Linked DNA regions of Caenorhabditis elegans. The protein of the gene in region 1 interacts with the protein of each later gene in a pairwise test. Each region holds a gene or a part of one and is shown on either strand. Other genes may lie near its edges. The genes, in order: C07E3.3 and lec-1.

Region 1 (6,390 bases):
AGTATGATAGTCCAACGTTTCGATTCAAAAATTAATATACATAGAAATGTAAGAGAATATAAGTTTTCATTTGAAATAATATTGGTTTTTGTTTAAAAAATATTTAAAAAACCTACCGTTAAAAGTTTTTGGCACAATTTCAATTATTTTTCAATTTTTTAAACAAAAATAAATATTATTATCAGATTAAACATATATTTTTCTACACTTCCATATCAAGTTTTGAATCAAAAAGTTGTATCATCATACTGAAATAAGCAGTCTTGTACTCTTGCCAAAACAGCGCCACGGCAAACATTAAATTAACTCGAAATGTTCAATACTTTAAAAGCAAGTTTTAAAATTCCCAAATCTGCTTGAAACTTCCCTGATGATCGTTCCAATCGGTCACTCGACTCTTCTTTCGTCAAACTCACTAACAATAATAATAATCCGAAGAACTGACAAAACACCGAGTTCTTGTGTGCACTTCCCCCTGTGCTCACTTTTTGACTCATTTCATATGTCATTTGAACATAGGAAGTGTGACGTATGATTTTTAGCATTCTTTGAACTTTTTGATATTAGAACATTTAAAACTAGATAGGTAATTACTCAGTTCTTGCTATTCATAAGTTTCTGCGAAGACTAAATTTAAAACGCGTTGAATATATTTTTAAAAATGCTCAAAACTATGAATGCTCTGTCTACTTTAAATTGAACTTGAATTCGAAACTTACTATTAGACATTACCCCAAGTTAAATTATTCAAACCCTACTATCCAAAATATCTCCTTATCTTGTAAAAACTTAATAAATCAGATATCTAGGAATAGAAAAACTTTTTTGCAACCCCCAGCAACAATTCGATGTTGCGCACCGCTTTTTGTACGGTTTCCGCTTGACAATCTCTCTAAATCACTTAGTCTCCTACGGTCTCTAATTAGAATTTGTCTCCAGGGATTGAAATCATGTCGGTGGATCAAGCAAAGTGCGTGAAAATATATGTGTATATGTCAATCAGATAATTTACTTTTTATGTGTGTCGTTGTTATTCCGCCTGTCACTCACTTTCTCGCTAATTTCCGTATTTTCATTTCTTAATCGTGTTAATTAACACCATTTTGAGGTCTGTCCAAATTTCCAAACGAAAGTTTTGGAAATTTTGGTAATTTTTCAAAACTTTTAATGAAAAAGAAGATCGAAATGTTTATTTGAAGTGTTTTATCAAAACATTTGATCATTATGAGTAAATTTACAACACATTAAAAAATGTCTTTCCGAGGTATGAAAATTGTGTAATTTTTCTAAATATCGGCCTACAATTGAAGCCTACTTTTGAGCCTTTTTCTCACGCTCTATCTTAAAACTTTTTGTATATTATTTCTTGTGTAAGATTTTAGAGGAAAAAATGCGAATAATTTTTTTTCCAAACTCTGCTCATAAAATGATTCTTGTTTATTTTCTCACTCACAAAACTCTCTATTTCTTTCTTTCTCCATATATTTTTCCATAAAATGGTAGAAGAGAGTGACTCAAAATGTTTTTTCTCCATTTCTCCCTGTTTGTTTTAGGTTGCTTATGATGGTTGTTTAATGGTTGCGGTGGGAGGGAGTTTGTCATCTGACTCGTCTTCGTTCGTACTTTTTAAGAGACATCAATACACCTAAACTCCGCTTACTCGATGATCATTCAGTTTCTTGAGGAATAATATTTTCCACAATTCCTTCTGATTTTCTTTTTATAGCTCATATTCGTCATTTTTTATATATACAGAACAGAAGCAACAGCTTCCAATTCGGTGTTTTAAATATACTTCTTTGCTACACTTTCAGAGTTTTCCTAATGTTTGCAAATTCATTTTTATTTTTCAGACCGCTAGCAGAAACAATGGGACATAGTCAATCCTACGATCTTCGGAACCCGGAAGGAGGCGAGAAGACGCCAGTTAGAGGAGTACGAAGAGTGAGCAGAGAACATCAGACTGATGCACAATTTGTGAGAAACTTACCTAAGGATAAATCAAGACTAACTTTCACTTTTCAGTCCACAGAAACCGCTGAGCCGTTTGATTTTCGAGAGGATGAGCTTCGTGACCGGATCCGAAGAGAGCAGTTGAGGAAGAGAGAGGTCGAGTTGGAAACGTTGAGAATCAGACAACACGAGAGTCGAGAGGTATTTTATTTGATGACTGAATGATTTTAAAACCCAATTTCCAGCCAATCATCGATGCGTACCGCCAAAACCAACCTGCACCACAAGGAAACTTGTACAATGAGTTCAATCATTACGATTCGATGAAACATGCTTCTCCATCTGATCCAGCCACTTATTTCGCACTGAAACCAATGACCGAAGTTAATGAAGGCCGACAATTCTCAATTCCAACTTCTTCCACTCGCCGCTACGACCAAGTTCCAATCGATCCATCCCCTGAACTTCAACGCCGTGAAGTTCCCAGCAAGCAGTCTCCACCAAACTATCCGAAGCGATCTTCAGTGTTTGGTGGCAGAGTATCCCCGTTGCCACGTCAATCGGAAGTCGATCCACATCCAATGCCACGCTACATTCCACCGATGAGTCCAAGGTATGAACGAACCCCCAAAGCCCAATACTGTAAAACTACCACTGTCACTACCTATACCACTTATGGAGATACCCCTGAACCACCTAGAAGTACAACTTACTCGAAAGCTTCAAAGCTGAAAGAAACATCGGTAAAACCATACGCCACCTACTCAAGAGGTACTAAACTCCCAAAGTATGACGAAGTTCCCAGGAATACAATGTACTCCCGAGCTTCTGAAGCTTCAAAAACCTCTTCTCGAACTTCCTTAGCTTCAACATGTTCTCGAGCCTCGAAACTTCCAAAATATGATCAGATTCCTCGTAGCCCTAGTGTCCATAGTCTGTATTGTCGTATCCCAACCTATGATGAAGTCCCAGTCCAAAAAAGTCCACGTTCCATAACTCCAACGCCAATGAGCCACCGTGTCCGTATTCAAACATCTCCTCCAATCCCACCATCATCTAATAGTACCTATGTGATTCCTGTTAAAGTGGATCGTAGATCCGACAGTCCTCGAACAGTCATAATCCCATTCTCATCAAACTCAACTACAGCTCTCGACAAGGTTCCCCAAGAAACACCAATCTATCGTAGAATATCTAAACCCAGCCAGACTAAGCCAACCAACTCTCGCGTTTCTAGCATCCCTTTAAGTCAGTCGTATCATTCGATGGACAAAATTACGATGACCTCAGTCTATCGTACTACTGCTACAAATAATCTGAAACAAGAGCCCATAGTCATTCCTAGACCTACCTATCGTTATTCAAAAACTCCGCTTCAAAAAGAAATTCCGCCAGTCCCTCTTGAACGATCTGTGATCCGACAGCCTGAGTACAGTGATCCCGGAGACTCTAGAATCATAGTCATACCATTCTCAAATCAGAACAAAAAATATTCACCCCCTCCATCAAGAAGCAGTACTCCAATTTATCATACCAATCTTCAAAGAGATGTTCCAACGTCTCCCCTACCTAGAAGACCCCTCTACAGTCGACCACCGTCAACTATTAGTACTGCTTCATCGGTTGAATATATCCCTCGTGCTCCGGTACCTAGAAGACCACTATACGATAGACCTCCATCTACGATTAGTCCACCTCGTTCTCCCCCATCAGAGCTTTATTTAACTCCTCTTGAGCAGGAAGTTCAGCGGGCTCCATTGTCCAGGCGACCACTTTACAGTAGACCACCATCAACCGCCAGTGCTCCTCGTTCTCCACAACCAAAAATCTATTTAACTAGACTTCAGAAGGAGGTACCACATGTTCCGCTGTACTCATGCGTGGCAAGACCAAGACCAGTTTACAGTACACCTCCAGAAGAGCCTATTGTGATTCCTCGTGCAGTTAATCCACCTGTGTCTTCAACAATATATTTGACTCGACTTGAACCAGAAGTTCCTGGAACTCCACTACAGCACTACATTTATAGATCTCGCTCTTCATCCACCTATAGCGTTCCGCCAGTCGAGGAGGCTTCGACCCGAACAGTAGCTTCCCCATCTAGATACACTCCCCCTCCTTCTTCATCTCCAAAAATGCACCTAACTCATCTGGAGCGTGAAGTTCCTGGAACACCACTCAACCACTACATCTCCAGACCTAGATCTACCCCGATCTATAGTACTCCACCAGAGGATAGGAATGTAGTCTCCCCATCTAGATATACCCCTCCACCATCGGTAACAATGGCTGCAAAACTTCATCTAACCCCACTCCAACCTGAAGTTCCTAGTACTCCATTGCAGCATTATATTTCTAGATCCCGCGCTTCATCCGTCTATAATACCCCATCAGTAGATAGTACTTCAACGCGTAGCCTGGTGTCTCCATCTTCTGTTCGTATGCCTCCCAAGCTCCATTTGACTCGTCTTCAACAGGACGTTCCGTGGACCCCGTTTAAGGTGTCTAGGCCTAGGTCAACTCCAATATACAGTACCCCTCCTCTCGAAAAACCTATTTCCCGTACTCTTGTTACCCCGTCTAGACGCACTCCCCCTCAAAAGCTCCACCAGATTAGTCTTGATCAAGACATCCCGGGAACTCCCCTTCAGCATTATATCTATAGATCTAGATCAACATCAACCTACAGTATACCATTGTCTGACTATCCTCAACCATCGCCAACTCCGTCTAGTGTGATTATGAATGACGATTCTCCATATGAAGAGAAGCCGAAAAGTTATTTGGGTACCTACCCAAAAACTTACACCAGAATCATGCCAGAAAGACCACCAAAAATAATTTCCCCACCAGAACATCCGGTAACAGTCAGCAAATCTAAATCCACTCAAACTCTTGACCAAATGGTAGTTCTCCCACAACCAAAAACTCATCTCTACCCAGAAATCAGTTACCGTCGTCGTAGACCATTGAGTATACATGTCCCCGCAGAGTCCAAATCCTCCACCATAATTTCTATCTACAGTAACCCCATCGATGATGTTCCACCAACACATGTCTCCGAACTACACGCCGAGAAGCGAATGATCGTTGGAATCGATGACGAGTTGCAGCCAGAGAAGAACAACGTGACATACGTAACTGTAGCTACTGCTGCAATCGATAATGAACTACTTCATCGTCATCCAGAAGTTGGAAGACATCCAGTCTACGTGCTTCCAGCTCAAACAAGCTACGGAGCTTCTGCCAAAAGAAGATCGTCTGATGACGAGGCAAAGAATGTGTTGCCGCCACAGAACTGCACAGTGGAGCACTGTACACACGTGGCGGTTAATGATGGAAGTCCTGTAGTGATAAGAAAAAGAGCCAGTCAAGATTCCATCAGAGATAAGGTGAATAGTATTATTATCTTCAGTTAAATAAAGATATTCTTTAGGAAAACCGCCTAACAATTCCCATCAACGAGGACGACACGGAAAACGTCGGAGAGGGTACAAATTATCAAAATGTCTCGAAAAAGTGCTTTGAAGAGGTAACCAGAGATTCCTTGCTAATAACTAAAACTCTTTTTAATTTCCAGAGACTCCACTACGATTCGTACATGCCAACGCTTTCATTGAGACAACGTCCTGTTGTCAGCTTTTATGACAAGCTTCATTAACTGCATTGAATATTTTTCTGAAATTTTGAAAAATCCAAAAAAAAAGAATGGGGATAAGCATTAATGTAATTTATTCATTAATTGTCAATAATTAATTTTAAAATGCAAATAAATTTTTTAACCTTTTTTGGGATTAAAGAATGCATGATTGGAAATCAAAATTATGAAACTTCACTGATTCAACAAAATCTGGAACCGAATCTTGCTCTGATACTTGTCATTATTCATGGTAATCCTTAGTTTGTTTAACTCATCCAAGTCATTCTTCACAGCATCTTCATTTTCCAGAAGCTCCCACGGGTATTCTTTTGCGAGACCCAAAATTTCAGTAACAATGATTTATCACAAATTATATCGATTGCTAGATCAAGATTCTTTTCCTGAATACAAAGCTTTCGAATATCTTGAATATTCTCAATTTGGGAGAGTATTTTTATACTCATTTTCTTCGTTGGGAAACACTTTCGAAAATGTTTAACTTTATAATCATTGTTGCTCATTTCTTCAAGCATTTTTCCAGTCAAACTTAACTGAAGCTCCTCCATTGCATACGGGGAATCCTCGCAGGTTTTTAGAATCAATAACTGTAACCTCGTTTAATATGTTTTTTCCAACAACAACCAAATGCAGAGTCTTCACCTTCCACTTGGAAATCATCATAGCACTGAGAAATACTTTTGGGATTCCGGAAGAAGGGGCATTAATTGAGAGCGAATCAACTGTGATGGGCGCGTTTTTGAAGTTTACCAAAGTTGGACGGAATCGGTTTCCATACA
Region 2 (5,440 bases), 2.8 Mb from region 1:
CCCGTGATTTTTTACTTTTTCTTGTGATTTAAAAAAAATATATATTAATTAACCAACATTTTTCACGTCTTCACTTAAAATTGACAATTTCCCGAACGCAGCGGCCGCTTCATTTCGAACATTCGGATTTTTCGCTTCGAGTAGAGGGTCAAGCTGAAGAAGACGAGCCGACGTGTCGGCGCTCATCGGAAACTGAAAATTTTCAATTTTTCCGGCTTATTTGAGAGAAAAAACAGCGAAAAATGCATTTAAATCCAAAAATCCAAAAAAAAATGGGAGACACCACGCATTCCAGGGAACAAAAATCCTGAGGAAAACTTTAGAAACCCGAGTTTATAGCAGGATTATTCAGGATTATTCAAGATTTCGAGCTTCACATTATACATTATAATAATTATTGATTTAACAATAAGAAGAAAACTAAATTTTGTAGGCAAACCTGATGGGAAACACGCGCGGTTTTCACGATTCGACTTCCGTGCAATTTGTAGTGACTCGAGGAAAACGCGCTCTCCTGGACAAAAACGGCGGTACTTTCAAATATAGTTTTTTCGAGTTTTCGCTTACTTTTCGCGTTTTTTTCGCAGAACTTTTCATGATGATCCGCTTTCAAAATATGAAACCTGAAATGACAACGAGAAAATCTGCTATCCAATTTTATTAAAATACAATGTGGGGGGTGAGAAAAGATACAAAAAGAAAAACGCGGGATTACAGTTCAGTTGCCGGTGCGAAATAATAGAGAAATGATTCTTTTTGGGGGGGGGGGGGGGGGAGAGGGGCAGTAGACTTTTGGAAGATTGATCAGTGAGAGAGAGAGAAATGGGAGAGCTGGATAACAGAAGAAAGAGGGGGAACAGGGGATATCAATACATAATTTATTGGATTTGAATTCCAGACAGCTCAATGTCTCCAGAGATCTGAAGCCCGGCAATGTCGTGTGGATCGGCGCGGTGAGCGAACGAGATGTAGCGTTCTCCGTTGACGAACACCTGGAACGCGTACTCCTCGTTTTGGATGACCAAGTCGAAGCCGACTCCCTTCTCGAATGGGTTCTTTCCCTCGCGCTCCTCATTTCCCCATTCGTTGGCGGCAAGAGAGTTGCGGATGACGTGCTGGAAGAAAGGAAATAAAGAATTTGGTCAAATTTCTATTGAAATCGATTTTTTTTTGTCCTTTCACCAATTTTACCAATAGAAATAGACACATGCAAAACTTTTGTGTCTCATAAAATTGTTTGTTGAAGAGCGCCATATTTGCCCAAATGTAGCAAACAAAATGCGGGTCTTTTTGTGTATGTGTGTGTGAGGCACCACAGAAAGGAGAACAGGTGAACAAGGAGAACACAGAAACCACACCCATTTTTCCGTGCCGCAAGTTTTCCGCAAATTTTGAGGCACCACGTTTTCAGGATCTGGGGCACCGTGCCAACTGCGGTTTTTGCAGTTTTCTCTCGCTGAAAAACGAAACAACGATACTCCGATATGACGCGTCGCGTGTTGTTTAGCGTTCAGAATAATGTTTTTTTGAAATAAAAACTTTTGGAAAACGCTAAACAACACGCATAACATCGGAGCATCGTTGTTTCGTTTTTCATCGAGAGAAAACTGCAAAAACCGCAGTTGGTACGGTTCCAGATCCTGAAAATGTGGTGCCTCTCGCGGCACGGAAAAATGGACGTGGTTCCTGTTCTCCTTTGTCGTGGTTCTCCTTTCTGTGGTGCCTCGTGGCATATATCAACCCTTACCTTCTCATCGAAACGTGGGTTGAAGTGGAACGAGATGTCTCCATTCTTGCGGAGAAGGTTGACGTGGAAGCGCTTGGCCTTCTTCTCAACGGTTCCAAAGACGAGGAGGCTCTTTCCGACTGGAAGTCCGTTGGCGAGTCCGCTCTCGTATGGTACTGGGTAGTACTTTCCTCCCCAGTGAACGTGGTTCAAGTAGAGATCTCCGTCAATCGAGAGGTGAGAGATTGAGGAGAGTGGCAGACGGTGCTCGTAGTCCTTGAACTCCTTGTGGTCGACGATGATCTGGAAGCGATCGTCGTGAGCACGGATGCGAATGTCGAACGAGTCTCCCTTCTTGATTGGGTTCGACTTGCGCTCTTCCTTTCCCCATTCTCCATTCGAGAACGAGTTGAGCACAATTTTGCCCTCATCGAAGCGGACAGAGACGTGGAGTGGCACATCGTTTCCGGAGAAATCCGCGGTCTTCGAGTGAAGGTTGATGGTGAAGCGTTGCGACTCGTCGATCGTCGATCCCTTGACGATGAGCGTCTGTCCGGGCTCGAACTTCTCCTGGAGCACTGAGCGGTATGGTACTGGCTGAAAAATTTAAAAATTTTAATTTTTTAAAAAATTAATTGGATTATTACGGGAACACATTTTTCTGATAATGCGTACTGCACAACATATTTGACGCGCAAAATATCTCGTAGCGAAAACTACAGTAACTCCTTAAATGCCTACTGTAGCGCTTGTGAAATGCCGTAAATCGACACACAAGCGCTACAGTAGTCATGTAATGAACAATGAACTACTGTAGTTTTCGCTACGAGATATTTTGCGCGTCAAATATGTCGCGCGATACGCATTCTCAGAATTTTGTGTTTCGGTAATAGATTTATAAGTAGAGTTTTCTAGAACCATTTCTTCTTCCATATGCCATTTTAAAATGTTCAGTAGGGTAATCATGTAGAAATATATGCTGGGGGGGGGGGGGGACCTCGCGTGTCACACACTGGTGAACAGAATAAGCGAGCAAGAAGCGAGACCCGAAAAAGCGGAAGAGCTGTTATCCAATCTGCATCCACCAATCTTCGCGCTCCCCAGACTTTCATACAGCTGACGACGACAAAAAATGCCTTTTCTACATTGTCTAGTTGCTTTCTATTTTTTAGCTCCATTTTGCTCCATTTTGCACAAAATTTTGTTGTGATGTGCCGCCGAGCAAACACACCAGAAATATGGCGGGAATCTCGAATGTTGATAATGGAACCGAAGGTGTGGGCGAGCAGATAACGAGAGGAATGTGTCACTTTAGTGGCAACCAACAAACTTGGAATGCTCTCCATTTTCGAGCTGGTGTCAGAATGTCCCATGTCAGTTTGATCTCCGAAAAGTTGCAGGAGAAAAAATTCCCGCTTTTTTTTGTAGATCAAACATGGGACAGCCTGACACCCCCATGTATAGAGGCATGCTTTACCTTGTTCTGCTCGTACCAGCGAAGGAATTGAGGAGTGGAAGACATTAGTGTAAAGAGTTGAGCTGAGGAAAACTGAAAGCGATCGTTCAGGACGCGAGTCAAACGAAGAACTGACGACCGGTAAACAGTTTCAACAAAAGCTGAGAGTGTGAGAGGAGAGAGAAACCAGACAGTTGAACAGTCATAACATTCGCAAGCGCCGCCCAATATTGAGTCAGAGAGAGCATGGAATTATGGGAGGGTGACAGCATGTGCGCGAGGCGACATTGAAATGTTTCTTTTTGTGCATCTGTCTGTGTCTCCGACTTCTCGTACAGTCTCTCGCATACGACTTCTCGCCATGATTCATCGTGTCGTTGTAGGCGAAGAAAACAGTGAAATTGAAAAAAGGAACGGAACTTTCTGGAGAGGAAGAGATCGATAATGAGTGTTGGTACAGTTTTCAGCTCGAAATTTTTTTTGTATGATTTGTTGAAACTCAAACAACAAAAGTTTTCGGAGCAAAATCCATGCTCAATATTTGCGTCTTCGCATTACTGTTTACCGCATTTCGAGTCTGGGCGTCACGTGCAAACTTCAACTTCAAAGGCTCGAAATGCACTTCAAAAACCAGGGGGTGGGCGGCAAACGATTTTTTTCCGGCAAATCGGCAAATTGCCGGAATTGAAATTTCCGGCAAATCGGAAAATTGCCGGAATTGAAATTTGCGGAAAATCGGAAAATTGCCGGAATTGAAATTTCCGGCAAACCGGCAATTGCCGCCCACCCCTGCTTCAAACGTTGAAAAGGTGTTGCACAACTAGGGCCAAGGCGAGAAAAAATGTGGCATTGATCTTAGGCAGGTTCTCATGGTGTACTAGTGTTTTGTCCAAATTGCCAAATTGCCAAACTGCCATTTGTTGTTCTATATTCGAGAAAAAGGAGGTTACTACTCGTCGGAAGATTTTCAAGAAGGCACAAGACATCGAAGAGAAAGGACATTCATGATGAGACACGGCTTAACATAGAAGACTGCAGAAGCAATTTGAAATTCGAGTGGTAAGCATCTTAAAGATCAACTGGAAATTGTTTCAAGCTGGAAAAAAGAGATTAAAAATGCCTTTTGAGCTTTTGATGGAAACATTTTGGTCTCACTTTAGCTGAAGACGTTTCTAAATTCGAAGCTTTTCAACCTGATTCTGTAGAATTGCTGCAAACTGGACGTTATGCAAAAATCGTTTCTTTAAAATTGTTCACTTAACGATCAATCATCAGTGTCAAGAACTACAATTTCGAAATCAACTATCAACAAATATATTTTTTGCGGCGTCTGATCTTCCTTCTGATTCAACACGTAGTAGTAGTAGTCCAAACATCGGTGGTGAACTATAGAGGTGACACTTACAGAAACGGGCAAATTCTCCAAAAGTTTCTGTCCTTTCTTTTTCATTATTTCTTACGCTTGACTGGGGCCGCCGCCGCACTTTCATCACCCCCGTACTGATACGGTTTTTTTTCTATTCTTTTCTTTTTTGTTGTTGTTACAACACCGTTAGAAACGAAACTCACGTAGGACTTTGGCTCTTCGGCGGACATTTTTTGCTGGTGGTGGCTTTTCGGTGGTTCCTGAAATTAAAATTGAATTTTAAAAACATGATTATTTAGAAGAAGAAGATGAAAAAGCGAGAAAATTTCCGACGACGACGACGACAATGGCAATAAAAGTGTGGTCTCTGGGCGCAATAGAGAGAGAGAGAGAGAAGGGCAGGAGAGACGCAGCATTTCGTAAATAAAGTCCGAGAGACAACAGACGTGTAAACAAGAGACAAAAGAGCACAGAACGTGTGTGAGAGATGCAGGAAAATTTTGTGTGTGTGTGTGAGAAATGACGCTCTCTCTCTCTCTGAAGAAGAAGAAGAAGAAGAAACCATGGTGATAAAATTGTGAGAAAATATGGGAGGGGAGAAGAGATTTGTTTATGATGAGGTGGTGACACATTTATGATTGAATTTGAATACATATTCTTTCTAGGCTTTTATGAGGTACTGTATATAGGCGGTTTATGTCAATATTTGAGCAAGAATTTCAAAATTTTTCTTAAAGGTTCTAAAGTTAATTAGAATTTAAAAAAGTTCAATTTAAAAATTTGTGAGTGGGCGACAAACGAGTTTTTTCCGGCAAATCGGCAAATTGTCGGAATTTGAAAGTTCCGGCAAATCGGCCAGCCGGCAAATCGCAGAATTTGCCGGAATACCAAA

Evidence for each region.
Region 2: the proteins of C07E3.3 (region 1) and lec-1 interact in a two-hybrid assay, tested with the Caenorhabditis elegans proteins (2 studies listed by BioGRID).

What each region holds. Positions count from the first base shown.
Region 1 is NC_003280.10:10,352,982-10,359,371, reverse strand, and holds C07E3.3 (SH2 domain-containing protein), read left to right. Parts: upstream 1-1,853; 5' UTR 1,854-1,869; coding exon 1,870-1,977; intron 1,978-2,025; coding exon 2,026-2,154; intron 2,155-2,198; coding exon 2,199-5,345; intron 5,346-5,389; coding exon 5,390-5,485; intron 5,486-5,533; coding exon 5,534-5,614; 3' UTR 5,615-5,739; downstream 5,740-6,390. Other genes in the region: C07E3.8 (DUF223 domain-containing protein), read right to left, coding at 6,119-6,390.
Region 2 is NC_003280.10:13,194,917-13,200,356, reverse strand, and holds lec-1 (Galectin), read right to left. Parts: upstream 3,412-5,440; 5' UTR 3,249-3,411; coding exon 3,204-3,248; intron 2,324-3,203; coding exon 1,748-2,323; intron 1,116-1,747; coding exon 879-1,115; 3' UTR 644-878; downstream 1-643. Other genes in the region: btf-1 (BTAF (TBP-associated factor) homolog), read right to left, coding at 58-186. UniProt on the Caenorhabditis elegans protein: Binds galactose.